2 linked regions of the Diceros bicornis minor genome follow. The protein of the gene in region 2 binds, or shares a complex with, the protein of the main gene of each other region. Links are inferred from orthologs where the notes say so. Each region holds a gene or a part of one and is shown on either strand. Other genes may lie near its edges.

Region 1 (16,365 bases), on a different chromosome or scaffold from region 2:
GATAAAGAAAGATACATATTAATGAATAAAGTACCAAATAATTATGCCCTAAGCATTTTGTTCAAAAGTTTTTCTAAAATATTTGGAATCAATGATTTATGTTCTTTTATTGAGTGCCCATGATGTTCCAGGTACTGATATTCTACGTGCTGGGGTTATAAGGCAAATAACATACAATTTCTACCCTGCAAGCTCACAGTACTGTGTGAAAGTAACAAAGAACTATAATTCATTGAATACAATCTGTAATAGAATTGTTTGAAAATTGTTGAAGTTTAGAATTATGCCCACAGTTGAGTTTTTTGTAAATAAAATTTGGAAAATATTTGGGAAAATTAATGTCTTAGGGCTTTAGTGGATGATTCCATCTGAAGATCAGGCACTCTTTCTTCCACTTCTGGAGATGGAGGAGGGAATAGCACACACACAAAATTTTAGCAGGCAAAAATGTGACCCTTGTAAGTCTCGTAGGACCAGGATTCTATCATCCCTTGGTGGCAGAATACTGAAATTGCAGGCATAGCTTAGTTGTTTTTTGTTTTGTTTTGTTTTGTTTTTTAATTGTTATTGTTTTAAATGTCAGCAGATGTCAAAGACATTTCTCTGAATGTTGGTTTCTCCGAGAGAATGAGACTTAAATTTCTTTAGATCTATGCTTTTCTATATAAGGTAGTATTTATGGTGAAAAGAGTGTGGACTAAGGTTGGACATATATAAGTTTGAAACCTAAATTTACCTCTTACTAGCTGCGGGATCTTCAGAAAATCACTTAAATTCTCTAATCTCTAGTTTCCATATTGGAAATCTCAGAGTTGTGAGGTTAAATGAGATTTGTAGGCAAAGTACCTAGTGCAATGTCTGACACATAGTGGATGCTCAATAAATATTAATTCCTGTTCCTTTTATAAAAGTACTTACTGAATAAGAGGTCTGCTCTCCTATAGTCATCATATCATAGCATTCCTCCATTTTAACTTTAAAAAAATGAAAGAGGTTGGGATAGATTCAAAGGAGACCTCAGAGGAGTCTAGTTAGGATGAGCTGGCTACCAATATCCCCTTCCTGCCCTCCTCCCCGAACTTTATTCTTATATGAAATATCCTGCATTTTCCTAGATGAATCCTATCATTCTTTAAGCCTAGCCTCAGTTCCAGCTTCTCCCATGAAGCTTTCCCCCATCACTCCAGATGGCATCCTCACCATCCACTATCCTTTAGTATTTTATTTTGATGCTGTTATTTTAACATTCTTCCTTTCACACCAAGATTGATGCATAAAAGGAAAGCTCTTTTCCCAACCAGATTGTAAGCTCCTTGAAGGTGGGTATTATGACTTGTATTTCTTTTTATTCTTCACACTAAGAATTTAGCACTGAACTTTGTCCACAGGACTAAGTAAATGTTTTTCTGCAGCCAGCATTTTTCATTAGAACTGGAACAGACCATTCAGGCTTCCTTAGTTATTATTGTCTTATTATCCTCCAGTTGTTTTGAGAATGTTTGAATTGTATCTTGTTCAACAAGATTGAATTAGTACCTAGCTATAAGATAATTCATACAATTTTCTCCTATTCTCCATATTAATAATAATAGCTACCATTTAGAGTGCTGCCTCCACCAAGGCTAAATCTGTTTTAATCCTGGCAACAAACCTTAAGGGAAGTATTATTGTGCCCACTTTACAGATGGGAAAACTGAGGCTTATGGAGCCTAGCATATTATTTTCCCCTAATAGAAGGTGTTCAGTGACCCCTACCTGAGTCAAATGAAATAATCCCTGGGATAGTATTTGAGGTTATGATGAGTGGACCTCTTGGTCTTCATTCCTTCCCCATAACTGAGTGCTGCCTGGAGCCAGGCTCTGTGCTGTAAGGGGCTGAAGACGTAGAAGTTCATCTAACCAGTGTTTGCTGAGCAGTGACTCTGTTAGGCATTTTGCCAGGTTTGGAAGAGGAAGTAGGCAGTGGGGCTGGGGACTCAATCGGGTACTCATCCTGCCTTGTAAGATTTTTTGCTTTGCAGCTTTAATCCTTTGTATCTCTCTTACTACACATTTACAGCCTGGTCATGATGATAGATTAAATGAGATACGTTTTGAGGACATGCCTAGTTAGAAGCACATCACAAAGAAATCTCTTGGTCATTTTTAGCTGAGAAAAAATTGAGCATGCCTTCTCTCCTCCCTTTGCTTTCTCTTCTAGTCTGTGCCCATCTTCCTCATTCATTCAACAAATATTTACCAAGCATATTCTTCTATGAAGTGCTAGAGGGAATATCTTACTTTTAGATGAGGAAAACACCTTTCTAGAAGACTGCATAGATATAACAAGTGTCACTGCTGTGATGTTGTGTGAGATTGTGCACGTCAGGTGCCTAGTGCAGTGTTGGGTATGCAGTAGACTCCTGGTAAAAGATGGCAGTTTTTATTTGCACTTTTTAAGTCCTATTATTTCTTTATTTCTTCTCCTCTTCCCTCTCCTCCCCTCCCCTTTTCCTCCTCCTCCTCCTCCTCCTTCTACAAATTACCTTCCTTGCCTTTTACGATACATCTATTTCTTTATTTGTAGTTACAGAATTGTAAATGAGTCCAGAAAAACCCGCTATTGAATTATTTTCAAAACTGTATTAATCTGGTTAAACACTGTATCCTTTGATGGTTTGAGTAGCTACTCCCTACTTACCTGCTCAGTGGGCTTTGATTTGTAAAGATTTATATTTATACTAGGGTTTTTCGTTTGTTTCTTTGTGTTTTATTTTTAGTAAAGCTCATCTGAACTGAAATGAAAAGGCCTCAAATCCCTTAATGCAGGGATCTTCAGAAATCTCTGTGTGTTTGCACGTTAACTCTGCTGAGTTTTCTTGGGCTATAAGGAAGAATAGATCAGCGGAAATGCCAGACAGGGACTTCACCTAAATTAGAGTTCTTGGATAAGTGTATATTTACCTTTTTCAAAATTTTGTAAGTAAGGTGGTTTTCCTGTCTCTTAAATTTTCTTTCCTGGAAAGACACCCTAGTGCTTTAAGAGTGCGGTCAAAGGCACATTTGAAAAAGCGTACATTGATTCTGGAAAGAAACCTTCTGCTTTCAGCTGCTGTTATAGCGTAAGGCTTAGGAGTATGGAAAGAAAACAGGAAGATCAAGTGTGAATTGAGCCTTAGGTTAGTTTACCTGCACAGGTGAATTCTTGGCAATTTAAGTGGACTAGACGTCCATTTGTCACATTTCCCCATATAATAGTGTTCTTCTAGCTATTTCCCACAATCCATAGTAAACAAAACTACTTAGGAAAGAGAAAGGCATCACACGTTCAGGTCATATATCTCTAAGAAAACATCAACAGTGAATTCCTGATGCTTCTGGTAGACTCCGTGTCACTCTGGTACATCTTTCTTGCCTCTGTGGTAAGTTTGCATTTTCCTATAAAATTTGATTTGGTGTTTCTACAGGAAAAAGAAAAAAGACAAAACCAACACCACAATTCATCAAAGGAAAATTAGGCTTTAAATTTTATCAAAAGCCCTTAAATATAGTATACCATTGTCTAGGCACACTGATTGTATTTTCCCTGGAGGAAGAAATGCCAGCAGTTTAGGTTTATTTTTCAAGGGAAGAGGGGGAGGATAAAAAGAAATTGAACCACAGGAAAATGTCAGGTCATAGTCACTGATGACGCTATTTAAATGGTGTGCCATAATCATATTAGGGCAGAGCACATGGAATTCCCGATTTCTGCATGGCAGTGAAGAAGGGCCAGCAATTATCTCCGTGTGTGTGTGTGGATATGTGAGTGTCTGTTCGCTCTACCTTCCCACCCCATTTTGCTAATTCAATTGAGGGGCAAGAAGAGGTAATCCAGACACCCAGAACAGGAGGAAAAGATCTGCAGCTGTGTTTGGAGGGAGTGGTGTGAAGAGAGAGGCTCAGTCTGACTTGGAGTTTTGTGCTATTACACGTGAATGCTCTGGAACTGCCCTAATCGACTGAAAATGAGCCGGCTACAGTCATATGGAGCAGGTCTGTTTCGCCACATCACTGGGTAGCATGGCAGATGGTGGACCGTCAATGGGTGGTATTGATTGGCTGGATTTGCCTTAGGGTAACAAGACTATGGGTCCTTAAAAACCTGCTTCATCTTATTTTCCTTTGTGCAGCTACATACAGTTGTGGTTTTCTCTTCTCACTTTCCCAGCCCCCAATATCTCTTTTTTTCCCTTTTCAAATCAAAAGCCTTCCTTGGTAATCAAAATAGAGAGGTTACCTTGAGATAAACACTCTTTAAATTATCACCAAGGCAAGAAAACTCGAGAATATTTTATTTACTAGGCTGATTACATTTTAATGTTTGAAGAAAGTGACATTTTTAATTAATGTTTAAGACATATGGTGAGTGTACAAATTAGCTTATTTCATACAACCAGCATTTGATGAGAGCAACTCCTCCTTCTCACTCCCCAGTTAAAAATTCTCACTTGAAACTTAATATATGCGAGAAGGTTAAATAGTATTAAGTGATGCAGCCTTGACTTAAAGATGAAGGAGACAGTCACTGTTGTGTGTAGCTAAATGTTGCTTGGATGAGCTGGAAAAATACTAGTATTGACATCTGTGTTTGCAAGGGGATGTGGAAGTTCAGGGCTTTAATTTTATCCAGCCAAGAAAACAAAATCCCAGGTATCAGTGTGTGTTGGTTTCTCTTTTAGATACGAGGGAACGTAGAACGGTGCATGCACGCTCTGTAAGTAATAAAATCCTCCTTAAAATCAGGCCATAGCAGTATAAGTGATGAGATTTATTTGTCCAGGTGGGTTTTTATCCTTTTAACATCCCCCCTCCATCACTGGGGCTTTCAACTTGGGACATTCTATTTATTCCTGGCAGAGGAGCAGATTAATTGGAATAGAATTGTACAAAGGAGACACCAAGTTTTCTGTACATCCCAAATAGTATACGACAGAAATGTTCCACTTCAAGGCAGGTCTTGGCGAAAACGAACAGCACTGGGAGGGGAGAGCTGATTGGTTTGCTCTTGTGGTTGTTTATAACTGTTCGTGTAATTGTGTTTTTAAGAGATGTTTAAGATTTTTTTTCAGTGTCTTTACTTTTAAGCTTTTGCTTATTTCCTATCATGAAAGACCATATCAAATAAACCTAATGTTTTACTCAGAAGAAAAGTTGCATTCTTAAACTCTTGCCTCCATCTTGTATGTGCTTCGTCCATATGGATACTTTTGAATCGGGTTTTTATCACGTGAGTCAATATTTTTCTCTTTTTGCAGAAGGAAAATATTTCCATGGAGTTTTTTGTGTTCCCTCTTGCTCTGTGTTGATTGGATTTTCCTTGTTCATCCTTTGCTGAATGAAACAAAGCTTATTTGTGTTTCATTCTTCACAGTTCTTATTAGAATTGGTGATGGTGTTTTGTTTTGTTTCCTCTCTATAAGTCAAGAGAAGGAGTTTTATTTATTTATTTTCACAAGATACAGAGAGAGATACAAGACAAGATGCCTGTTAGGGTGCTGGCGTTTCTCATGTCACATCCTACACCCAAAAGCTATTCCAAGGGGGAAAAAACAGTCTTTTAAGATGGTTCATTTGAATCTGTGCTCTCTACCCACCTGGTGGTTATCTAGTGAACTGTTACTTTAAAGAGTAGTTTAAACACCAGCCATGTTTGGGGCAGGCTGCTCTTGCAAAGAGAGCAGTGCATATAACAGGAGTCTACTGTGTGTGAGATAAGGGGAAAATTCAGCTCACTGACTAGAGGTTTTAATGTGCGAACTCTAGGGAAATAATATATTGACTGTTGCGTGGCGCGCAAGAAAATTGAAGAACCCTTTGCAGACGGAGTGCTTTGCAAAGGATTCTATCTGTTTCTCTTAAAACAAAATCTGTGGCAAGATGTTTGAAATCAGCAAGACGCTTAATGCTGCTTTGTTAAATAATGAGGTAATATTTTGTCACTTTTTTCTGGGCAGCATCTGTTTCCCCCCCCCTTCATTTTTTTCCCTATGTTTATGAAGGATTCTTTTTTTTTTTTTCTTTCTTTCCTTTTTATTTTCCTCATGGAAGTCAAGGAAATACAATTCACGTTTCCATTTCTGTTCCTTCCTTTCAGTGCTTTTGGAGAATTTGGTTGTCTTTTTTATTTGCAGTTTCAGCTGGCTGCTGTTTCCTAGCCCATTGTGCCACGTAAGGCTTCTCCACTGCGCGGAGTAGGTAGTTATTAACGCTGAATTGGCTTCTGGTACAGTCCATCTGGACTCTGTGTGGGAAAGCTGGCTGCCGGCGACTGATGCTGAGATATCTGCAACCTTTGGGATGTGTGCATGGTGGCGAGGGGCTGACTGATATGAGATTACTTCTTTTAAGGGAAATTGTTATTAATGAGTCAAGAAACTGCTCATTTATGGTAAGAGGGATACAGCCGCTCTGGCAGCCCCACAGCTCTGGGATATCATTTTTAGGTTGCCTTAGCTGCTTGAGTGAGACAAGTTTCTTTCTGTGGTGGTGGAGGATTGTGCCGGAAAAAAAAAAATCATGCATGACTGGGAGACTCGCCTGCCTGATTCTTGAGATAATATGTTGAGAATCTGTTGCTTTACAAATGTCACACCACTGATATAGTGGTCAGCCCCTCACTCTGAAAGATGAATGGTACTATTGGAAATGCAATAATAAGGTTGACTTTTCCCAACAATAGGATTCTGCCTTTGTCTTTAGAGAAAAAGCCTCTGAGGATATTTGTGCATTTGTTTGAGGATTCTGTTGAAAGACTTTAGAGTGGAGGTTTTTGGAGAAGTGATCAATACACAAAGTGTATGGATTTTTTTAGCCTAGCAAAACCAGCTAATCATTCATACTGTGATATACAGTTACTATTTTGGAAAAGTGATGAGAATATCTTTTGATATACCTAATGTTAATTTGTGGCTCACTAAGTGTGCTGAGATTAATATGGGTGGGAGAAAGGGGTTTTAAGCCGGCTGTTTTTATTTGTGTGTTTGTCAGCACTGTGTTTATGTTTACTTTTCACAATATTTTGATATTGGTGAGATCGCACTCAGTTTCTCTTGTCTATTTGGGGCACCTGTACCTGCCCTGTGTATATCTGTTGAGCTCTTTACAACACTTAACCTGTGAATTCATCCTTAGTACACAGTTCAACAGATCCTATAGCACTATTGTGACTCGTAGGACTCTTTATACATTTTGCTAAAGAAATTATTTTAAAGTTTTCTTAATTTAGTATTGTTCCTCTTGAAGGGATTATAGTTTTAACATTTCTACTTTCCTATTTTATGTATTTTCATTTCCAATAGCTCAATTTATTTAAATTCCAGTTTAATAGTTTAGATAGTGTACCCAACACACATTGATTTGTGGTGTATCTGTATTTTTTAAAGTGTGTATATATGTATGTATTTGTATGTGTGTTCATGAACTAGTAGTTTAGAAAAAATAGTTTTATTTTTTAAAAATGTAAAGGTTATTTTCTTTTCTAATAATTTTTCACAGACCCATTTATTCTTGGACTTTGAAGCCCAGAGTGTAGCATGATTTCTGGCCTATATTTCTACTCTGCTCGGTCCCATCTTGCTGTCAACTTCAGCCAAAGATTAAAAATTATGTTGAATTACGTCTTCAGTAATATTTGTTAACCTCTGTATATTTATTGAGGAACAAATTGACTAAATTATGAATTAAATAGTGATAAGTTAACTTTTTGGGTAGAAGTAAAGCATAAACTCCTGAGGTAAACCACTTTAAAACTCAAACCAGAACAAAAAAAGTATCTTAACTGAAGGCTTGGTATCAGAGGTTATGAAATGTATCACATAGGCAGACAAACTGTATACATCACCACACACTTGCTAAATGTCTCCTTGCAAGTCTTTTAAGAGGCCAAAGGAAGAAAACATCCTTTGAAGGAGAGATGCAAAATCACGTGTTCAGTAAAACAAGATGGGCACTCTGCACCGGTTATGAAATGAGTCTGTTGTCAAAAGCATATTTTTACCTTTCTCTATAGCAATAGGGAAAGCAAAGAAAGAATGTGTTTTAGTGGATTTTTAAAAATTCAGATCATGCACCTATCCAAGTTGAGAAATAAATTCATTTAAATAAATCATTCATCATTCTCTGTTTTGAAAAGCTCAGACAGAAGGCAGAAAGGTAGAGGCTGACAGCTGCCCCCTCCTCCCCCAGCTTTTTTTCTTTTTTGTTTATTAGGAAATAGTTTTCTGAAGCAAACTTGTATGAACCTAGTTCAGGGAGCAAGCACAATCTCAAACTTGCTTTCGTTTGAAACCTGGTCATGTGAGCTGCAGAAGGAGCATTACTTGCTAAAAATCAGCAATATTGGGAAATAATAAAGTTAAAATGTAGATGTATTAGCACATTGAAGTGCTTTTGTTGTTATATCTTTAAGCCTAGAGGCAGATCAGTAAATATGCATTTCGCTAGAAAGCAACTGTCAAGAAAGATAAGATGATTGAAAATATTTTAGATGGGAAAAGCCCTCTGTCAGAGGGGTAGGGTGGTGCAGCCCTCAGGACAGGGGAAAGAGAGGACACTCCCACTGTTAAGGTTTGCAAGCCACCAGTGACTTGCAGTTGTTACAGTACTTTTGAGCTGGGAGGAGGGAAAAGGTAAAAATACAAGTATGGCTGTTGTTGCTTCAGCCTGGCCTTAATTACCAGACACAAGAAGCAGTTCAGAAATCTGGTCTCTGTTGTTGTAGAGGTCACCAAATCATTAACATCGTCAATCTGGCAGTAGCTAATTTAAATAGCACCTGATGTTGCAACGCCTCCCTTCTTTTCCCCAGCCAATCAGATCCTGGCTTCAGCTGACAGATGGTCCCATAAATGGATGTAAAAAGGGGAAGCTTCGAGCCAATTTCAGCAAGGCTCTGTTCAGTTGTTCTTATCTACATCCTAGAATCGGGAGTTTCGGCTCACTGCTCCTTTTCTTTTTTTTTTTTCTTTCTCTCCCCCTCATCTCCCCCCCACCCCCAAATAATTGATTTAATTTACAATCATCCACACTGTGTGTTGTGGATCTTTAAAAATATACAACAATAGTAGTCATTTAAAAAAATATATTCTGAAACCTTTGCAAATTTTAAGAGAAGAGTCGAAGCTCTGCGAGACCCAATATTTGCCAATAAGAATGGTTATGGTAGGTATGACTAGATTTATAATCTGTTGTTTGTGTTGCTGGAGGGAAGAAAAGCATCTACACTTTGACCAGTCTTATGCTTGCACAAGAGTTTAGTTCTCTGCTGCTGTTTGGTTCCTACCTTTACTATCTCTTTTGTGTAGAGAGTGCGGGTAGGTCCTTGTATTGAAAAGCAGTGGGGAAATAGATTGTCATTTTTAAGAGGTCATTGTCAATTTTCCCTTCAACGTAAAGGCAGTGGGGGGAGGTGGGTTAGGGGGAGTTGGGCTGAAATAATTGCTGGTTTGTTGAAAGAGGTTATATTACATGAGACCATAATGCCAAAAGAAGGGTTTTATTTTTGCAAGGGAGTGGGGGTTTGTCTACGTGCCTGGGTTTTGTGGGGCTCGAGGTGGATGCAGCAGGGTTAGGAATCTCTCCATTCCCGTGCTGGAAATTTAAACCTCGAGAAGCAGCTCCTGGATACTGAACGTTGAGATGGGCAGTTGTGTTTCGGGGGTGCGCAGTCAAAACGGCAAAGAGAGTGATTTATTTGGGCTTCAGTAAATGCTGCATCTTGTATTTCAAAGAGTTTCCTGTCATGACCTCATAAAAAAGAGGAGGCGGCTTGTATGTGTAGCGGTGCCTGGCGTGTTGAGTTGTTGCTTCCTTCTCTGGGCAGCAGCTCTGTAAGGAGGAATGTCAGCTTTTACATAACGTTCCTTTCCGCTTTTGACACACTGTGTGAGGGTCCATCTTCTGCTGATCACAGATGGAGTGGAATGGCTTGAAGATGGTAAGTGAAAAGAGGAAGGCAGCTTGGAGATTCCAGCTGAGTGTGTGTGTATGTGTGTGTGTAAGGATGGTGGACTGTGCATCATAAATCACTGTGCAGATCGTTTGTGTGTGTGTTTATTAGTATTTCTCTTTTCTGAAAACCAGAATCCACCTCCAAGTGTAATGGCACTGCATGCACACTAGGCACACACACTGCCTCTTCCATAGACACACATTTTAGCCAAGCAAGGTTGGTGTCTTTTTGACAATCACAATGTCACCGTCGCTGTCAGCTGGCGTGTCCACCGCCTCTGTGAGCCTTCAACAGAATTACACGACTGTTAAAGTTAAAGGCACATTTCATTTTCCGTCTCCTGCTAAGAGTGATGGGGAAGGCTGGGAATGAGGGGTGGAGGAGGTGAGGTTCAGTACCAGCAGATGTAATTGTGAAACAGGACTTTTGGATGTGGAAGGGGAAAACCTTTCTGCCAAAGTAGTAAATCTATTTTTAGCATCATCTCTTTCTGAAAAAAAAGAAGCAGGGAAACTCCTTGAGTGCCGCTCCTGTCGCCTGATGTTGACCCTGAAGATATGGCACAAAATGGCATGATCAGATGCCGCGAGTGCCCACTTTGACTTTGAATTTCACCAGCAATAGCTTTCATGGGGTTTCAAAGCTGGGTATGGGGGGAGGCTGGAATTTCATATCCATCTCACTTATTTTTCACTAGAAAAGCCCGGGGAGGACTTTTCGCTCCGCATAGATGTTATAACAAAGCTGTGGTCTTTTTCCCATTCTTAGAGGATTGCCTTTGTCTGGCTGCTTGTTTTGATGGGTGTAAAACAAATAAGATTAGACCGAGCAGCCCAACTGAAAGCGATAGCTGGGAGGAAAACCCAATGAAAGGTTGCCGGGGAAACGAACAGAGGAAAAGCCGAATAGGGAGCAGGTGGCTATCATGAGAACACACTGCAAACAGTGTAAAAAAAGCGGGGGGGGGGGGGGTACAGGACCTCGATTATCTTTGCTGTTCTTTGTGGCCGGCCCAACTTTAATTATTCTTTATAAATAGGTGTTAATTACATTTCTAACTCTGGTTTACAGTGATTTTTAGAAATCTATTTTTAAGCATCTGTTCTGTCTCCCCTGTTTTTTTTTTTTTTTTTTTTTTGGTTTTAAAAAACAGAGAGAGAGAAGGAGGGGGGAAGGGAGGGTAGGGAATCTTGCTTTTTTTTTTCCTTTCTCTCTCTCTCTTTCTCCCTTTTCCCTGCTGTGAAATTGTACGTGCGAAAAATCGCAAGGAATCCTGAGAGGCCATTTGAAAAAAATGTAAATTGTATTGAATGAAGTTGATGGAAGCATAATAGTGAACTCTCACAGCTGATAGGTTCTGCAAATGACTTCTTAGAAATTTCCAGCAAATATCCATAGGAGAAATATAGGTAGAATAGATTTACCCTAAGCAATGACTTTGTGCTAGGTAATATTGGTATTTTTACTAAATCAGATGTTGATACTACAGTTCCAGGGAGTTCATTGTAGCTCTCATTTTATATCTTGAGTAGAAATTACTTTTAAAAATAATCAATAAAAAGCTGTATTCTAGCCTTTTTCTTCGCTTCCCTCTCCATGCCTTCAGCCACAGGATCTATCAGGCTGCACCCTTGCGACCACCGCCTTCCATTTAGCATTTGGTGCTGGTTCTGGTCTTGGCATAAACTGAGTGAAAAGCTGAATTCTTTTTTTCGGTATCTCTGAACGTCTGGGACCCATGTGTGCGCTGGGTGACAGGCATCTCTCGCTTTTTCTCTAAGAGTGCTTTACTAGTCTCTTTTTCTCATGATGGTGGGTACCAGGAGGACTGAAAGGTGTAGTACTTAGGTGAATAGGAGGTAGCGTAAAAACCACTGAAACGATGATGTGTTACGATTTCTTCCTGAGAGACAAATTAGATACATGATCAAGTAGCTAATTTTAAGCCCCAAAATGAGAGAATAAAAAATACTGAAATATATTAAAAGGTTATAAAATATAATTGGCTTTATTGAAAATACTCTTAATTTTTACTTTTTCCATTGCAAATCTCCGCACCCCTCCCCCCATTCTTTTTTCCTTGCAGATTCTTCTTTTTGTTTTTTCTTCTCATTGGGGGATTTTAAAAATTTGTTTTGACTCTTGAGGTAAAAATAATTAAACTTTTATTTTTTGTCATACACTGGAACCTTGCTCTCATCTTGAGTGTGTAAACATATGTCGCTATTAAAAATAGAATAGTTTTTGGTTATCTCCACTATACTTTTTTCTGAGAATTTTATGGTATTTTTTAGTTAGGGGAAAATCATTTCCATAAGAACTGTCACCTTGTCTTGGGTTGTAAAAAAGACATGTGGTTCTACCGCTGACCTTTCTTGCTCCTTTGTCTTAAAAATATTAATGCCTACTACCTGCTTGTGGAGGTGTGCCTTTATGGAAGCAGAAGACTGAGTGTGCGTTTATTAAGAAATGAAAATCTGATTGGAAATATTTCTGCCTGACTATATCTCAGTTTTAATGACCAGACTGTCCATATATCTCATTGTAACATAATGGCTAAATCATTTAATATTTAAATTTTGAAAGGGTAAAATGAACATCAGTGGGGAAATAGCTGAAAAATTGCTTTGAGAATCATTGATTTACAAGACAATTTTAATATCCCATTTAAGAAAAAAAAAAAAAAAAAAAAAAAACCAGCAAGCAACTTAACCATTCATTTGTGATCTCAGTCCCATTCATTCCTAACTGCCATTCATTCAAGTCATCCTCCTGGCCGGATACAGATGAACTTGCTTCTGTTTGATAGTTTTCCAGAGCCTTGAAACTTTTTTCTCTTCCTATAGCCCTTCCTTGGTCCTTGGAATTTTCAAGGATTTTGTGATGAGATGAAGGTTCGATTGTCGTGAGGTAATAAAAATAGAATTTTTTTTTAAAGAAAGAGAAAGAAAATGAGCTACACGTTTGTATTTTAGTTCTAAACTCAGTCTTGAAACAGGGTTTGGGACATGTTAGACTCCGGATATTTTAGACTTAGCATTTCTACTGGGGATAATCTATTTGAAATTTCAAATCTGGAAATCATTGCATGAATGGTGCTTTGTGTGTGTGTCTGTGTTCAATATCTCTAAAAGAATTTGTAGGTGAATGAAGGTGTTTTTCTCCAGTAAGAGTTACCGCGAACAATGAAAGGGTTTCCTCAGGGCAAGTCTTTTTCTTTGGTTTGGTTTCTTTCCTTTGCACATATTTCCTTATTGGGGGTGGATTCTCTTCCTACATGTAGACCTAATACTGTTCCTTCTATGAGGAGATAATGCTACTTCAATTAGCCCTTGGCATCTTAATGCTTTATTATAATTAAAATAAAATCAAAACAAATTATCTGTGTGTGCCACGGGTAAGGAATGGTGGTCTTTATAGAGGTCATTGTACATGGACAGAAGTACTTTGGCCTTGATAAATTTCTTCATCAGTTCCAATGATTTGTGGCCACCAGGCATTTAATTTATATGCCTGGACACTTAATATGTACATCAGTTGGTGAGCTGGCCAGCGGATGCTAGACACATGAGTGTGTGCTGGCAAATGCTGCAATGCAGTATTTTTTCCCAGTGTCACTGGGAATTTTGGGGATGTGAAGGGGCATAAACATTTTCAAGTTTTTATCTTACTATTCCAGTTGATGGGCCATGTGGTACGGAATTGGCCAATTCCCCTTTTGAAAGTGAAGTCAACCTTTTATTGCCCACTATCCATTCTTCCATCCATTTGATAGATATGTGGAAAGTATGTGTATGTGAGAGAGGGAGACTCTGTGTGTGTGTGTGTGTGTGTGTGTGTGTGTGTGTGTGTGTGTATGTGCTTTTCGGTGTAAGCGTGTGTGTTTCTGGAATCCTGCACCTGTCTTAGGCTTTCCTTATTTGGTATTACCCAATGTGTATACATACTTGCAAGTATATGTGCATCTGAAAATGGAAAGAAAACCAAACTGGGCTGGCTTCCCATAAGAAGTGGCTTCTCCTTTTCACAAATTCCAAGAGTTCTCTTATTAGAAAAATACAAAACTTCATTAAAAAATAGATATATCCAGATTCTGCAGACTTCCGTTAGTAACCAAATACCTTTCCTTAGCTGCCACTAGAGAAACTATAAGTGTGCAATCCGTAACAATATTTGTGAGCTAGAAGCTGCCCTTTCAATCAAGGGGTTGGGTTCAAATTAAAATATATGCTTATGTGGAAGGAGAGTTGTTTTTTCTTTGGGAGCATTTGAAACTAATCTTTAACATTGGTAAAAACAAGGAGGAGGTAGGGTGGCCATGTTAGCATCTCATGCTTTGTTTTGTGAGCGTGTGTGTGTGTTGTGTGTTTTTGGAACATCCTTGTATTTTTAAAATCTCAGCGTATTTTAAGAGTAGAGGGCTTTTATAGGTCAGTGGCTTTCTAAGGGTAAAAAGAAAGGTGATCTGTGGGTGGGTGGGAGTTGTCACAAGCAGTAGTTGTCATAAATTACCCTTCTAGAAATGGAAAGAAAAAAAAAAAGACTGGAGTACAAGAGTGGAGAGGGATACCAACATGTGGATCTGCACCTTGCCGGTATAAGAGATAATGAGTGATAAATTTGCAGTGCGGGATGCCAAATAATTTCTGAGAACCTTGACTTTGCAAGTTCATTACTTCCTTGCTTGCTTGTTCACACCTTTAATTATATCCAGTTCGGGATGCTAGTTGGGGGCACCAAAGATGAGCCATTTTGTTTGTTGTTTACTTCATTAAGTATTCAAGCAGTGTGCTCACAATAGCTTGGGAGCATCAGTGTTAGGAATCAAGCACTTTGGAAATGGAATTGTTACAAAAGAACCAAAAAAATGAAAAAGCAATCAGCCAGCTAGCTTGCTTTGGATGCTGACATCCACCCTGCTTAGTGGTAATATTTATGCTGTTCCCTGTACATTCATTAAGAAATAACTTACGCAGTGTCACTGCTCCCAATAGACTGGCAGCTTTCTCTCTCTCTGTCTCTCTATCTCTATCTCTTTCTCTCTCTCCCCACGCCTCCCCCCACCTCTGAGATTTTGCCTTTTGCTGGACCATTTTAGGACTGACCCTTTTTGCTTTGGGGAAGATCATTATTCAGATCCTTGTCGTATCTAATACCAGAGATATTTTCCCCCTCAATATGGATCCCTCTCTACAAGGATCAAGAAATGCTGAATGCCATAAAGAGATCCTTAAATAAATTTTGGTTGAGAAAGCGGTGAAAATATTGAAGAAATAAGGTCAGTGTAATTGGTGTGCTTGCGTTTTTGTTTTTTTTGTTGTTTTTCGAAGGCCTTATTTTTAACCACAAAAGTCAAATGCAAAACTAGCATAGTGATTTTTTAAAAATGGGAAAAAATTACACGTCATAGGTCTCTCCTGAAAATAACTTCCCTTGGACTCTTGGTTTGAAAATAACATTTAAACTTGACTTTGCTTTTTTTAATTATTCATTTTAAAGCTATAAAAATGTAATTCATAAATATTTTTTCTGTAATAAGTTTAGTTCTTTTTTCAGGATATGAGGAAGCAAAGAAACAATTCCAGCCGAGACAGCGAAATCTGAAAAACACACCACAGCATGGAGGTTTCCTCTCTCTGCACTTTGTGGCATTGAATCCACTCCTGCTCATTCTGTGAATCAGTTACCTTTTATTGTCTACTCTCCTGTAACAACTAGTCCTTGAGTTGTTTTGCCGACTGTGTTCATAGTAGAGGCTAGCTATCATTTGTTGTTGGATGAAGATGTATTTTTTGAGGACTTACTGTGTGCATTCCCCTGGAACATGGAATTCAAGGTCACCATTTCTTTTTCTTCTGACCCTGATCAAAAGACCTAATTAGAGGTTAACTCCTGTGATTTGGGATAAAGTTGGGGAGAGGGATTTTAAGGTTGGACATTACACAATGGGGTTTGTGTCGAATTATGAGAAAAGATCTGTTGGAACATTTAGGTACTACATAAACGTTTTTCCTTTTGTATTTGTAAGAGTCTAGGTCTGACTCCAGGATAGAAATAAAAGATCTTCAGAGCTTTTTGTCTATAAGGTTCCATGTGTCTAGATATTCACTGTCAGGAACAAGTAAAGTTTGGACACTTGGAAGGAACTTGTCTTTCCATCATCTGCCTGTGGAGCATGGCTAGAACCTGTTAATTTTACGGAAATAGGAATGCCTTGCTTCTGGCACAGATGACCCTTTGAATACCTTTTCTTGTGTTACCGTCCAGGGAGGACCTGAGAAGATAGTGACCCTCTTGGCATGTACCTGTGCAAACTGTAAGTTTGCTAGTGGAGCAGAAATCGTAGAATTACTTTGTCATACCCACCTAGATAGTGCAGTGTGTGTGTGGGGGGG
Region 2 (15,510 bases):
CCTGACAGGTCCCTTATATGCCTTTAGCCACCAAAATGCCCCTTGTCTAATAATCAGACTTGTCCTGAGAGGTCTTGAAAATATCTGGACAATCCAGTCAAAGATTCTTTTGCTCATCCAGCTGGTTGCTCTGTTATTTCATTCAAAACCAGTTTACTGATGGTTAGCCATGCCCACATGACCAGAAAACATCAAACCCTGGAAGCCTGGACTTCTGCAATAGGACTGCATGTCTGGTGGTGTTTGTTCTGTATACAGTTATATTTCAGTGTTTGGCAATCAGATTTTCTCCAACTATACTAAAATGATGAGGTCCAGACCTACTTTTCTCCTGTGATTTACCCATCCAACACACATTTTACTTCAGCAGTTCGTGTTTAGGGTGAAAGCTTGTTCAAGCCTATTGTTCCTTCATCCCTCAACTATTTATTGCAAACCTACTGTGCTGCAAAGGTAAGAAGCAGGTCTTAGAAAGCTGGCTCTGCTTTTTCAATACCAGCATGACCCCTTCGACCCAACAAAAAGTACAAAGGCCCCTTTGAAGAAAATCTGAGGGGATATCCAAGTTCTTCTACTAGAACAGAGTTAGTGAACTGGAGACTGAACATCTCCTTGCTGGCAGTGCTTCCTTGTGATGCGCATGTTATCAAACTTTTATCAATAACCAAATGAGCATGCACTTTCTTGAGTGCATGTTTTTTGAGGAGAGACCTTTTCTTATTTTGTTTTGACAGGCATTTAAAAAGGTGTGGGGGAGGAGAGGCAATATGTTCCTCACAGGTGCAAATGGTGAGTAAATTTTATACTAACGTGGAGTCAGTCAGTGGTTGAGACCCTAAGAAAGATCTTCACAGCCTAGCCAGTGGCCAACTAGAGGACCTGTTGTCTATCGTTTACAACATAAATAAAATCCATCATAGAGCCTCTGGTTACTATTACTCCCTTTGTTATTGTTTCAGTCAGCCTTTGAGACAGACATGGCAACAGACAGTCCGTTTTCTAAAGCTTACAGATTATTTGACACTGTTAACTCTTCGAGGTTCTATGCCCCATGGCCAAAGGGCCTCAGGCACTGGGAGAGGGAGAGGGCCACAGCTATATGCACCTCCATTTTCTCTCCACCTCTCTCATCCTCTTATTTTCCCCTCACCCACTCTCTTCCTCTCCCCCTGCCTCCTCACTTCACATTTATCCACGGGCCTTTTGCTTTTGCCTTAAGACGAAAAGGTCCTAAGACAGCCCGGGCGCTGTAAAAGTCTGCGCCCCACAGCGGGGGGAAACTCTCCACGTGGGCGAGGTTTGGGATCTGGGGGCTCCAAAGACTAAGGCGGAGGCTGTTCGCTGGCGCGCCGGAGCCTGAGGTCTCGGGGACCCTGGGGAAGGAAGCTCTTCGGAGACCCAGGCCTGCAGATGTTCCCTGGCAGGGGCTTGTTCAAAGGAGGAAGGCGGGGGCCCCAGCGCAGAGCGGGCAGAGATTGCGAGGCAGGGCTGGGGCTGCGGCGGGCGGGGAAGGGTTAGGGCAGCGGGGCCGGCGCGGGCTCTCCAGGAAGCGCCTCCAGCGCGGCCGCGACTTTCTCTGCTTTTTGAAAAGAGGAAGGGAAGGCAAGCAACTCCGAAAGCAAAAATAGCCTCGCCCGTCGCCGAATCTACCAAACCTGCTGTCTGCGACCCCCTATCCCATGGGTCGCTGTGCGCCTCCAGCCGCTGCTCCTCTTTAAAAGCGAGGCGGGAAATCCACCCCAACCCCCATCTCTCTCTCTCTCTTTTTTTCCCCCGTCTGGAATTTCCAACCCAGGACGAACTCGTCTGATTTCTCCAGTCTCCCCTGCTGTTTTTTTCCTCCCCTTTTCTCTCCCTAACACTCCCATCCCAAAATCTAAGCTGCACTTTCTGGAAGGCATTAGCCATATTTTAAAAATCTTTTAAGAGAATGGGGAGCGAACAAGACTGAATTTAAATTATAACAGCTGGCAAAATGTCTGTGTTCTTCAAATGTCTTCGGTTGATACATTTATCCTAATGACAATATCACCACCATGACCACCCCCTACACACAAAAATCAACACAGGTACAACCAGTACATAGCTCTTCAACACAAAAATCCCTAAACTTCAACAAACAGCACTTGCTGGTCTCCCTCTTTCCACTCAACTAAACCAGATCTGAATTTTTTTTAATGTTTTATATATTTTTTGTTGTTTGTTTTTCTGTTTTTTGTTTTTTTGTGGGTTTTTTTGGTGTGTTTTTAATGTTTTAAAATCATATACCCACTAGCCTATCTCAATGGTACCTCTGTCAAGTGGCTGTTACACATTAAAGTATAGAGTAAATAAACTCAAAAATTTAAGCCTTAAACTACCCAAACACATAAAACAGATTCAAATGACATATATTAAGGTAATTTTAAAAGATTAGAAGCACAGAACCTTTGAATCAAGATTCTTCCAATGGCTAATGTCATGTATTTCATCTCTAAAACATAATTATAAGAAAGAATGTTTTGCTCTTTTTCCACCAAAAGCTGCACCATTAAAACTTTACATTTGGAACAGTTAACTACACTTTGAATAAATTAGTGATGGGAATTACAATTCTTCCCCTTCTTTACTCAAAAGTTCTCCATCTGGGAAACCCATGGAGTAAAAATTCATCTTTCTACTTTGGGTCAGAAAATAAAGGTTTCTGGACACCTTCAACTCTTCCAAAGGATAGTCAAATACCAGTGTCCTTAGGAAAGTCATTTTGAAATACTGAGCACTAAATGATAACAAGTTAAGGATTTCTCTAGCAGTGAAGAAAATTTATGAATTTGTAAAGTTTACTTTCTAGGTAGAAATTAAAGTGGGGAGAGTGAATTCATTTCCACCTTTCCTCTAAACAGTAGAAAAATGTAAGAATCGACCATTTTTTAAACTTATTTAAAGCCCAAAAAACTAACCTAATAGGAATAAGAAAACCTTTTTGAATACAGGTCAGATATATCTTTTACCTACAACCAGTAAAACAAAAGTGCCTGAAAATCCTCCCCCTCTAGTACTATTTACTCCTTTGTTTTTTTTTTTTAAGACATTCCTTTGTTTCTTAACTCCCCCTTATAATTCATTTTCAGCCCCTAAGAATAATTTTCATTAAAGGCAAACCCATTTTTGAAGGCAAAATTTTCTTGCTTGTTTTGAAGACATTCAGTGATCCAATTATTTCTTCAGAGCCTCCGCAAATCACTTAAAATTAAAAATATTATTTTTGCCATTTACAAGACATCCCTTCAGAGATTTTTAAAGCTGCTAACTTTAGAAAATTAAACTGTAAAATCAGAATAAAGTTTGCACACTTTCTCTTCTGAGAGTTCTCACACAATCAGAATGAAGTTTGCACACTTTCTCTTCTGAGAGTTCTCACACATATGGCTATCAGACCAATTGTTTTTTTAATAGCTGGAACTATAAGGCAAAGGGCTGGCCCACCTCATTTTAAGTCAACTTAGGGAAAAGAACCACCATTAACCTGCCCAAGGAAATCAGTCTTTAACATGAATACATTTCACCAAGAGAAATGAAGTACACATCTCTTTCATTTTTTTCTTAACAGCAACACTTTTTATTTTGATGACACCAGTTGACAGCAGGTATGCTATCATTAGGTCACATTCCTCTAGAAAAAGGCATACACAGTGGCAAATGAAACAAAAGTTTAATTCCCTTAAAAGCAAGTCATTTCCCAAAATAAACAAGTCTCACTAAGATGGTATCCCTTTATCTTAACTAGTCTTAAGTCTCTCAAAATAAAATACACATACAAACCCTTTCCACAACTATCTTAAAAATGCTTTTGGTTTTTCTCCTTTGTCCTAGTATTTGACAGTTAATATATACAAATTCTTAACAAAAAGCTGAATTGTTGACCAAAATTCCAACACTGACTAACAGGGGGTTTAGGAAGATCTCAGAGAAATTTAATGTCACCCATTTAAAAAATTCAAATTGACATGTTTTCAGTTTAAATGTATAGTGTTCAGTCTCTTGGATTCTTAAAAAGGTACAAATTATATTTATCAAATAGATACAAAGTTAGAACAAAATATATTAATACTTCAAAATCAGAGGTGCTCAGAGGTTAACTGCAGTAATATTATCTTGTTTGATTCTCCCCTCTAAAAAGCAAGAAAAAAAAAAACAGGAACATTCAAGTTTTTAAGAATCTCTTAGAAATGTTTACAGTCATAATTCATTTGGAACTGAGTGCATCAAGAAGAGTTCTCTATTTTAAACAGTGAAAACACGAGAGTATATATACATAAAATATATATGCACAGTTGTCCGTTTTGCTTAATATATTAGTCATAGTCAATTAAATAGTTCCTGTTCTATACATGAGATTGAAAAAGCCAGTATACAAACCAAATGAAGACTTTTCAGACAGACTAAAAACACATACCACAACACACTTCCTCAAAGAACACAAAATGATAGAGCAAACTGACTTCACGAAAACAAACTTTCTTTTTTTAAATCCCAAAACTTCAAAAATGGATTCATTCTAGAAAAATGAAGTGCCTTCTCACCACCACCCCCAAAAAGTAAAACACAACTGACTCAGTGTTTGTGCTCAAATTATTTCAGGAAGGGGGAGGACACACAAAAGATCGAATTTAATATAATATGGGTGTGGAAAGGAAGATTTTGTACTCACTCTTCTCACAAACCCCACCCTTTCCCAACTCCAAAGAGCCCTCAGTAATGCATTTTGGAGGGAACAAGGAGCCTAAAAATGGCTTGAAATCAAGCAGCTAGCTTAGGGGAAAAGATCCATAAATACAGAGCACCATGAAAATTAAAATATAAATGTTTTGGGTTCCATTTCCTAAGTTTGCTATTTCTCCTGCTTTTCACTTCATTCCCTTTAAAATTTAAACCATTCTGAAGAGCAAAAGGAAAACTTCCACACATCTGGAACTGGAATTCCAGAATTCCAGTTATTCTGGATATTTCTCATCAACATGTTTCAAAAATTCAGCTTTCAGTTCAAATATGCACAATCTTTTCAATAACTCTACTGGTGTCAGTGTATGTTTTTCTCTCATTCCCATCTCCAGGAAATGTTTCAGAATAATAAATAAGACTTTTTTTCTTCCTTCCGATTTTATTGCCTCTTTCCTCCTAACTCTACTTGCCTTTCCAATAACAGAGTACTTCAAGCACTTGAGGTTAAATCACAAGCTCTATAAACATAGTTACAAGCCATATTGATCATCTATAGATACAATAGTTCCAAGTTACTTCAATATCTCAAGCTAAACCACTGAACAGATTTTTACCTCACAGTAAACTTTCTAGACCCTTAGCCACCTCCAAAAATGCATAGCCACCCACCTCCACCTTCCCACCCTGAAAAGGCCAGGTCCTATTCTGAAATTCAGCAAGTTTCCAGTTGAAATGAGAGGAGGGGGGAGTGAAAGGATCAAAGATTTACTGGGGTTTGCAACATGAGAGAAAACTCTGCACTGTCAACATGTTTAAAGTCAGATTTGAGAAAGCAGAAAGACTCGGCCCTTATACTTCCCAGCCAGAGTTCAATGAAAGATTTGAAATCCACCATGAATTGGATTTGGGGATAACATGATAGAGGTACCCCAGTTTGCTGAAGTGAGGATAGAAAGGTATTGGAACACACTCTTTCTCTGTCTCTGTCTCTGTCTGTCTCTCTCACACACACACCCATTCATGCAGGGAGTTCTAGACCCTCCAAAGAGCCCCAGCTCACAGCCTGAACACAAAGCTCTCACCCCAGATGGTCCCCCTGTAACAATGGACTGAAGGAGTGGGGGGGGGGGGGCCTCGGAAAGGATAGTACAGCCAAAGCATATTTGCAAAATCCAGTTGGGAGGGGAGGATGTGCATGTGAGGGACTAGGGGTAGGGGTCTGTAAAAAAGTAATGTCCATGCCTGTTGCAGAAATATAAATAAAGCACAAGTCTAAGAAAATTCTTTTAGGGGCAGAACTCATTCCACTTCCCCTGGGGAGTGAAAGGAGACCCCCACCAATCCACTTAAGAATTATGGTGAGTGAAGGGTGGGAAAAAATAGAGAAAATGAGGCCTGCTAGGAAGTTGCAGAAATGTCCATGAGTCTGAGCTCTTCAAATCTTTTTAGCTTCCCCACAAAAATGGCCCCACACCCCTTGACCAAACTCCTCAAGGTTTCTCCCCTATTTTTTCCCTTTTATTTCTCCAAATAACATCTCTTAGCCCACCCTAGCCCCAGCTTACGTTTTTTACAAGCTGTAAACCACTCATTACAAGATCTTAGCCAATCTTCCCTCCCTGCCCCCAACATCCGGAGTTGGGGGTGGGAAGGCCAGTAATGGGTTTCTTCCACTGGAGACACTATGGACCCCTGAACACAGCTTCTCGGCTCCCCCAGGCTGCCCCCCTCCCCAGAAAAGAGCTCTTTCCTACCTTTGTTTTTTGGGGACCGAGTGTTCAATCTCTAGGCGTTTTCCTTGGAGTTCCACTTTGCCTAAGGATTAAAAAAAGGAGAGACAATATGAGAGCTTGAACAGGGCTGGGGGGCGGAAAAAGGAAAGAGAAAGGCATTAGGGTAATTCAGGAGTTACTTGGATTTGTAGGAATCAGGCAGTGAGTTTCGCAGCCGGGTGGGAAAAGGTCGCTCTGGTAATGGTGGAATCTATAAATTCATTGTGTTTTCTTAATTTTTGTTTTGTTCTATTATCTCATCGAGGCTGGCTGAGTAGTAGGTCGTTCTGGGAGCCCGATCTGGGAGAGGTGCGCGGGCGTCTGTGTGCGCGGGCTGCCTATCCGGCTCCCAGATGTGGGAAGACGGGGCCGAGAGAGAAAGGGCTCTCGTTTCTCCCAAAGTGTGTTGCAGGGGGGAGGGGGGTGCAGAATGAAACTTTATTTTTCGGTCCAGCCAGGGAGAAGGGCTTTGGGCGGCGGGACGGTCACCTGTCGGGACTGGTCGGGAGCAGAGGCCCTGGGGGAGCGAAGCGGGGCCCCGCAGGGAGGGTCCCCGGCGGTGGCGGCGGCGCGCGCCTCTCGGCCCAGCCTCGGCGTCTCGGGAAGCAGCATGGCGACCCGGCGCCGCCGCGGCCGCGCCACCCCGCTCACGCCCCACTTTCAAATCAAAATGGCTCAAGCCCCAGGCCCTGGGCGGGAGGCGGGACCCCTTTCCCCGCGGGTCCTGCTTGAAGGCTGCAGTCCCCACGCAAAGCCGGGAGATCGGAAACTGAGCGGGGACCCCTGCCCCGCCTGGAAAGGCCTAAGGCGGAGGAAGGGGAGCTGGGGGTGTTCACGCTGGGGGCGGGAGGGGCCTCCAGCCGCGGATAGGGAGGGGCTGACGTGGAAATAACGCCCTGACGGGGTCGCCTTGCTGGCGACCCCCCACTGCCAGTGGGGGCTCCCGCCCCGTCGGTGGGGGGTAAGGGGGCCACCTTACTAAAGGCTCCAGCTGCTCGTCTCGGGTTGGGAGGAAGGGGTGAGGAAATCTCGAATATTTCCGCGCGAGAGGGGAGTGGGGGGTGGAGGGGGCGTCGAAGGAGCTGGGTGGAGGGTGGGTACCGAGGCCGAGCCCCGCAGGCCGCGGGGAGAGAGGAGGTGGCGGGCACGGAAAGAGGCGGCGCAGGTCTCCGTTGTTCAGGGATTTCGTTGTGGTTTTCTCCGGGAGGTGGGTGTGCCCTTACCCGAGAAAGTTTCGATGGCCTTCATCGCCCAGTGCTCGTCGGGGCAGTCCACGAAGGCATAGCCGGATTTGACCAAGAACTGGCCGCTGTAGGAGATCTTATGCTCCGCAAACACTTTCTCCAAGTCCGCGGGGGTCACGCTCTCGTTGAGGTTGCCGATGTAAAGCTTGTTCATGGTGGCGGGCTCTGGGCAGGACGCGGTCCCTGGCAAGGCCGAGCGAGCGGGTGCGGGCGGCGAGCCTCCTAGGCCGAGAGGCGGGAGGCCGGCGGCAGCAGCCGCAAACTTTCTTTGCACCCCACCCCTGAAGTTGTCCGGAGCCCGGCGGGGAGGGCGGCCCGAGGGCGCGCAGAGGTCGCGGGAGAGTTCGGCGAGGCCCGGGAGAAGTGCCCGCGGCGCGCTGGGAGGCGGACGACGCGGCGCTGCTCCTTCTCTTCTGTCCGAAACTCCTCCGAGCGGGCTGGTGTGTCACGTTTCTCCGTGGCCGCCCTGGCGCCGCCTCTAAATAAAATCGACTTGAAAAAAAATGGAGCGGAAAAAAAAAAAAAAGGCGAAGCCACGTGGTGAAAGCCCCCACCCACCCTGCAGGGGAAGACCCCCGACGCCTCAGGGCCCATCGACCCTCCAGCCAGGCCCAGCCCACCAATCTCCCGCCTAGGGGGGACACTCGCCCCCGGATAAACTGGGCGGGGTGGGGAGGGGGGGCTGCGTTCCCGAAGCTTTACTTGTCCCCTCCCCTTTTGCAAGAATATGGTCCCTAGGGAGGCGCCCCACCCCCCCCACCCATCCCCCTACCCCGGCCCTAGCTGGGGGAGGGTTGTCGGGCCCAGAATCTCCCACCTCTTTATGGGTAAAATGTACGGTGATTTTTTTATTCGTGTGCTCCGGGGGTGGGGGAGTTTGCCCACCCTACCCCGATTAAGTGCTAGCGACTGACAGGCGGGGGACGGCCGAGAGAGACAAAGAGAAGCCGAGGACTCTGGGGTCTTCAGGAGGGGGTCCCGCGAGCCGGTGATTTAAAAAGAAAGGCGGTTTTTCCCTAGATTTTTAAGTGGGGGCTCTGGGCCTGCCCGGCCCCAGCCCTAGGAGACTCCCTCGCCTCCGGGAATCCAGGACCGAGGGGCCCTGCGAGCGCGGGACCGGGAAGCTGGGGACACGGGGGGTCGCGATTGGGAACGAGGAATCCACAGGAAATCATGTTTCGGGATTCCCACCGGAGAAAGGGTGGCTCACAGCCGGGGTTCGGCTGTTGAACGACAACGTCTCGGGGTCCTGGGGGAACGCACGGCTCCGGCCCAAGATGACCCCGGGAGAGAGGGCGGGGTGGAGAGAAGGAGAGGAGGGGTAGCGCGAGCAGACCCGGGCGAACCGAAGGGGGAGGTCTCGGGGAGGGAGTGACCGGGTGGAGATCCGCACGGTCCCTTCTCCCTCCCGGACGCGGGGGCAGACAGGTGGAGTCCCCTCCGCCCGCTCCAATCCGGACAGCGACAGCCGCTTTCCCAGCACTGGGTTCGGGTCCGGGAACTTTGTTTGGGGTGCAGGATTTGGATCCCGGCGGGAAGGCGGGAGAGGGGCAGCGGGCAGGGGGCTGAGCGCGAGGCCCCGCCCACGTCCCCAGGTCAGACCCGCGGAGGGAGGGGGTAATTTCCGCTCGGCGCTCGGGGAAGCGAGGGGCGGGAGCTTGGAGGAGGGGGCGGCGGCCCCTCCCCCCTCCCCGTTGCTGGGGAGGGGGAAGCGGATCCGCCCTGGTCCCTTCCCTCGCCTTTGACCAACTCGTTCCGGATCCTCCGGCCCCCGGAGCCCGAGGGACGGACCCGACTGGGCAAGGGGCGACACGTGGGCGGTCGCACCCCCGTCTCTGCGGTGGGGGAGGGGGCAGTTGGCGGCGCGTTTCGGAGTCCCGGATACACGGCGGAGAGCGGGACGCGCGGTCCACGCGCAACCGGGACCCCGGCCCGAGTGGCGAGCGAGGCCAACGAGTTTCTAGCGGCGGGGGCTGGGACGGCACCAAGGGGTGGCAGAGAGCGCGGCCCGGGGCCCCTGGAGCCCCCTTGGCCAGGGAACCGGGGAAAGAGGGAGGTGGACCTCCAGTAATGCCAGAGTCTCCCTGAACTGGGCGGAAGCTCGGGGTTTGCTCCGGGTTCTGCAGGAGGGAGAAATCATTCGTTCGGGGACACGCGTGCTGCGAGGGCAGGTGAGGAAGGGGGTCACTCTCCCTTTCCCGGTCCCCGACCCCATTGTCTCAGTCGCCTGCGGCCCGGGCCGACTCCGCAACACGTGTTGGCTGCACCGATATGAATGCCTTGGGTTTTTTTCTTGTTATTATTTTGTGTGCAGAGTCAGTGAGCTGACTCCGACTTGGGCGCACCACTCTTCTGCCAGACGATTTCATTCCGTTCAAAAAGTCGGGAGTTAAAAGACAGCACGCCGCACCTTTGTCCCCCTCCCGGTTGTCCCCGCGCGCTGAAAAGAAACGGGGCTTGAGCGTGGGGGCGGGGGAAGGCTTCCAACTCGGTTTCTCCATCTCCACCACCTTCAAAACCCACCCTCCAAATCCGCGTTTTGTTCTAGCCAGCCACGTGTTTGTCGGATTTTTGTTTTTGTGATTTTTTTCTTTCCATAGGGCGACAGAAATTAAAATACTATAAGCTATTAGTTGCTGAGTAGAAAAAGAATGTTGGGGTGGGCGACATCTGTACCCCAGCCCCCACACCTCCTCCCACCCTCCCACTGTTTCTGACTGTTAATATTTAGTCAACTCTTGACCATAAACAATTTTAAAACAAACCAACGAGCTGGAAACGGTGCCCACCACATAGTAGGCATTCAATAAACATTTTTTTAAATGAAAAACAAGCTAATACAAACTGCAGAGCAAAGAAAATGCACAGGAAAATTAAGAGTTCAGAAGAAAAAAAAATTATCTTGGCCAGAATGTGTAGGTCTGTTTCCCGGGGACTTTTCTTGGTGATGTGTGTGGACTTTTGAAAGGGCTAAAAGATGGTCTCAGAAAGGCTGTTGTGTTCTTTGGCCTTTTCGTAAAGAGGAGCCCCAATCTCCTTAAATCTCGTCTGTTCGATTGGGGGACAAAGAAGTGGGTACTAGGCAGGACTTTTCAGTTCCCAGAAACTTTAAGAGCTGTTTCCTTATTTAGTTTAAATCTTTAGGAATTAATAGAAGCACCTCTCAGCTTTTCTGCCTGGGGAACATATCCACTACTCTATCTCTTTATTCCTAAAACAAAAGCAAGTTACACCCCACAAAAACCTCAACACAGACCTCTAAATGCCTGTAAAGTGCAGCCCACCTTTTCTTATCCTAGATTCAAAGGGAAACAAAAAATTTAAAAATAATAATTGAATTCAGTTCACTTTTAGGTTGATTTTTTTCCACTTAAAAAATATAATAGAAGTCTAGATATTAGCTGAAATGAGTCAGTTTAAATGTTTTTAAATGACAGTAGAGGAGAAAATATAAATGTATTAAATTAAAAATTTACCAACTATTGCTAAATCGTAACTGATTTGTTCTTTTTAAAAATCAGCTGTTTCACTGAATTCTAATCCCCACACACACACACACACACACCCCACCAAGGGCTTCTGTGTGTAGTCAGAGGCTGCAAGAACACAAGAGCTTGGAGACAGCTGGGGTGAGATGCAGACTCTTTTAGCCCCCAAATCAGTTTTGCCTCAGTGACCTGGCTATTTTAGGCTGGGGTTGGGGGGACTGAATCCTGTTGACTGGTGCTTCATCTCTCCCCTCTGAGTGAGCTCAGCACTAAAATTAACCTGAGAGAAGGGTTCTTTCTTGTCAAGACTCACATTCCTAGGTGAGGGACAAGCATGGGCCAAGTTGGGATGCCATAATTTATCATCATTCTTTTCTTTTTTTTTTTTATATTAAAGACTACTAATAAACATGGTATTTGTTTTCAGGTTTTTTTCCACACAGCTTTTCGGGGAAAGATTAATCTTCAATGCAGAATTATATTTAGTTGTGAGAGTTAAAAATATAGCTGCAGGATAAATTATTTTCTTTAATAATTTATTTAATAATAATAATTTTATTATTGTTGATGTTGTTATACTTCTTGGTCTTCTCTTCCTCCTTCTTCATTTTTCCTGAAGAAGTATTTGGTCTAGTTCTAGAATTCAGTTCTCTGAATTCAGAAACACTGAAACTTGACTCCATTTTAAAGATGGGATTCAGATCCATTTTCCTTCAATGTGAACCTGCAAATACATGCAGAGAGGAAAAAAAAATTAAGAGAATAAAACAACACTTTAAAAAGTTGGAGATATAAAGTGAAAAAATCAACAATTCCACCATTGTCATATAAAATTAATTTTATTTTTAAATATTTCTTCCAGTATTTGTTCATTTGGAATAGTTTTATATTTTGTCACCTTATTTTTATATCTTAATTTTTCACTTGTGTTGTACCATAAGCATTTTCCCATGCTGCCTCAAAGTTTTCATAATTATCATTTTTAGTCAACACGTACCATTTAGTCCAGTAGATGTAAGTTAATCTTAATCATTAATCATTATTTTTAGATATGTAAGTTACATCAAATTCTTTTACTTTTGTAAGTGGTGCTGAATAGATGTTTCTGGGGCATGTAACTTTTTCCTCTTTTAGATTAGCTCATTTGAATATATCCCCAGAATATATATTGCATTTTAAATTTAACATTTATCAATGACTTTCTATTTTAAAAGTTTAGCATGTTTTACAAAAGAGAAGTCACAAAAAAATGGAAAGCAGGAGAGAAAGGCATTAAAATAGAATTTGTCCCTTTTTTTATTTTCTAATGACCCATAATCAATTTTGAAATAAAATTATGGTTTCTATAAAATAGAGAAGAAGAAAAATTCACATTTCATGACAAATGGCTGCTTTGATTTCAAAGTTTTTGGAGGAATTTGTTTTTTGTTTGCTTTGTTTTGATTTGTTTTGTTGCTGTTGTTTGCTTGTTATTTCATTGTTATTGCCTGGGGATATTTTGTTTCTTCCTGCAACTTGAAGTCTTAGTGTGGTTCTTCTAAATGCCCATAAACTTTGAAAAAGTGTAAATGAGTCCCAATTTAAAAGCACATGCAGCATTTTCTCCTGTCAAATAAATAAGGATAATTAATTATGTGTTTGAGATAACTCATAAAATGTAAAAGAATGGTAAGCAGAAAAGAAAAATTTTCCTCCTCCAGATTCTTCTTTAAAAGTCTTCAGTGTTTAAAACATTAAAAAGAAATGTGTTTATTTCAGAGATAGAAGAGACTCAAGGAGAAAAAAGCAACTTTAAGAACAATCATTTGTTTTTCTAGGGGTCAAACAGTGTGTGTGTGATGAAACTACTCAACTTTTTGTTTTGGCTCAGGTTTACAATGCAGAAACTTTTAGATAAGGAAGGGAATCGTTTATTTTATTAACTTTTAAAAAATGGATGTTTCCAACTTCGATGTGTTAGTAAATTAAACTACACCACACTAGCCTCTATTGACACATGTAAAAGAAATGGTCAATAACATTCTTCACACTACACTAGAACTGCCTTTTGCTTTCTTTTCCACTCCAAAATCATTTGGTTAAAAGATAATGAACAACTTTGTCTAGTGCCTATTTTCACAAAATGCAAAATAGATCACTGGTTCATTTGGGGGGAAATTGTACAATTCAAGAAAAGATAAAGAAATAAATGTTATTTTTCAAAATAAAACAAATTATAAAAAGCAACAAAAGAGAGGGAATCCATAACTAAATATTATTTAAGGTGGACATAGTGATAAGACAATTTTGTGCTTGAAATATATGTATCTTCTAAGTATTTAAATGATTTTAATTCAAAATGAATCAGTTACAACATCAAACTGTGTGGAGTTAATTTGATTTTAGCTACATAACATCTACGCTTTTTAAGACTAAAAGAACTTTTCTATCTGGAATGCAAATTATTTTTGGTTGCTTGTTTAAAATTTTACTCCTGATGATAAGATTAATTGATTTTACTCCTGTTTCTAGTCAGGATTTTTTTTTTTTTTTTTGAGTAGCTGTCTCAAATATTTCAGAGTTAAGAGGAGATGCTACTATGGTTTTTTATGTTTAAGTTTAAAAAATTAATACATATACTATTTCACTAATATTTCATCACCAGACTACTCATTAAAAACACTTCAATCTGTCTTTGTAAAACAAACCAGTTTTACAAAGAAAAGGGACCCAGCCTAATAGTATTTTTTTAAAAAACTGGTTGTTTGACTAAACTGAGATACAATTCTAAAAGTGCTTTCTGATTTTTATGGGTTAATAATCTACGAAGAGTTTTGGTCCACCTACCTCTCCCATAAACGCTCTCAAATTTTTAAGCCTTATTATTAACACAACTTAACTTCCGTTCTTAAACATAACCTAAAAGTATTTGGTCAGCAGTTATATGATAAATTATTGAATAAATTTTCGTGATTTTCTTTGCATTTCTAAAATGTGTTTATAAAATGTGTAGGAAACAAATATTAGAGTTATTTCTAAATTGCTTTGAAATGAGGTTTATGGTCTCTTTCCCTATCTTCCTCTTCCTCCCTGCCCCTCCCCCCACCCCTCCCCTTTCTCTCCCCCCTCCTTTTGTTCCTCCATTTTTCTTCCTACTCCCGACACTGTCAATTCCTTTCCTCCTCCCCCTTTACCTTAACGCTCTTCTGTTTCTCTTTTTTCTTTGTTACTTCTCTTCCCCCTGTTATTATTCTCCAGCTCCTCTGCCCCTCAACCCATTTCTTCCCTCTTTTTAATCAATATGCCTACCCAAACTTTCTATCCTTTTCTTCACTCCTTCCCTTTTCCTTCTTCCTCTCCCCCATCACTAACTTGTAATCATTCAAACGGTTATTTCTGGTGAAGTGGAAGGATACAGAGATGCTTGAATTATTTTATACACCAAAATGAGAAACTTGTTACATTTTTGAGGAGAACCCCAGGGTGATTCAGACCCCAGAGCTCCTCCACTCCTATACTCCCAGCATTTCTTGTCTGAATCGTCACTGGACACTATTACTTCTTTGTATCATTTTTCTGTGTCTTATGTTGCTTATAACTAATTTTGTTAGCATTTTATGTATCAAATCCGTCAGGGCAAAAACTTATGTATCACCCAGGGAGTCCAAGACAGTGCTGACAGGTGTCCAAAAATATATATTTAATAAGTATCTTTTGATACTGTCTGGGGAGAAGACATGGTTAAAAATGCTGTGTTCAGCCTGTAAATGTTTTTTTTCTTTCTTTCCTTCCTTCCTTCCTCTTCCCTCCCTCCCTCTCTCCCTTTTATTTCTTTCTTTCTTTTCCTTCCTTTCTTCCTTCCTTCCTTCCTCCTTTCTTTCCTTCTTTCCTTCTTTCTTTTTTTGTAAATACAGTACTTCACAATCATCAGATGAAATACAAGTAAATGAAGTCATTCAAAAGGCTGATAGGTCTACAACAACAATAGCAACCAAGAGGTATCTCTGGGCTTGTTGTTCCCTAGTCTTGCGCCCAACATCCACTGATGAGCATCCTCTTTCCTTTGTTCCTGGTCAAATAGCCTCCGAATTCTGCTCAATTTGGAGCTTCAGGCAGTCAGTGGCAACCATCAAAGTTAGTTGGCACATCCCTTTTCCATCCTGATCTCCATGATGCCACATAGCCAGGATGAGAATCTCTAGGGACAGTCCAGATAACCTGCCAAGAGCTCTCTAAGGCTCTTCCTTCTGGGAATGTAACTAGCACCCCACTAACCATGTAAAGGTTTGTTATTTTGTGTCATCCAAAGCAAAAATGGCACCCCAC

What was found.
Region 1: IGF2BP1 (region 2) and ELAVL4 share a complex: the UniProt entries of both Homo sapiens proteins name them as parts of the TAU mRNP complex. The link is inferred for Diceros bicornis minor from reciprocal best matches to the Homo sapiens genes IGF2BP1 and ELAVL4.

What each region holds. Positions count from the first base shown.
Region 1 is NC_080752.1:12,617,709-12,634,073, forward strand, and holds the start of ELAVL4 (ELAV-like protein 4), read left to right. Parts: upstream 1-8,975; 5' UTR 8,976-9,171; coding exon 9,172-9,180; intron 9,181-16,365. UniProt on the Homo sapiens protein: RNA-binding protein that is involved in the post-transcriptional regulation of mRNAs. Plays a role in the regulation of mRNA stability, alternative splicing and translation.
Region 2 is NC_080757.1:37,066,848-37,082,357, forward strand, and holds the start of IGF2BP1 (insulin-like growth factor 2 mRNA-binding protein 1), read right to left. Parts: upstream 8,212-15,510; 5' UTR 7,872-8,211; coding exon 7,697-7,871; intron 6,517-7,696; coding exon 6,456-6,516; intron 1-6,455. UniProt on the Homo sapiens protein: RNA-binding factor that recruits target transcripts to cytoplasmic protein-RNA complexes (mRNPs). This transcript 'caging' into mRNPs allows mRNA transport and transient storage.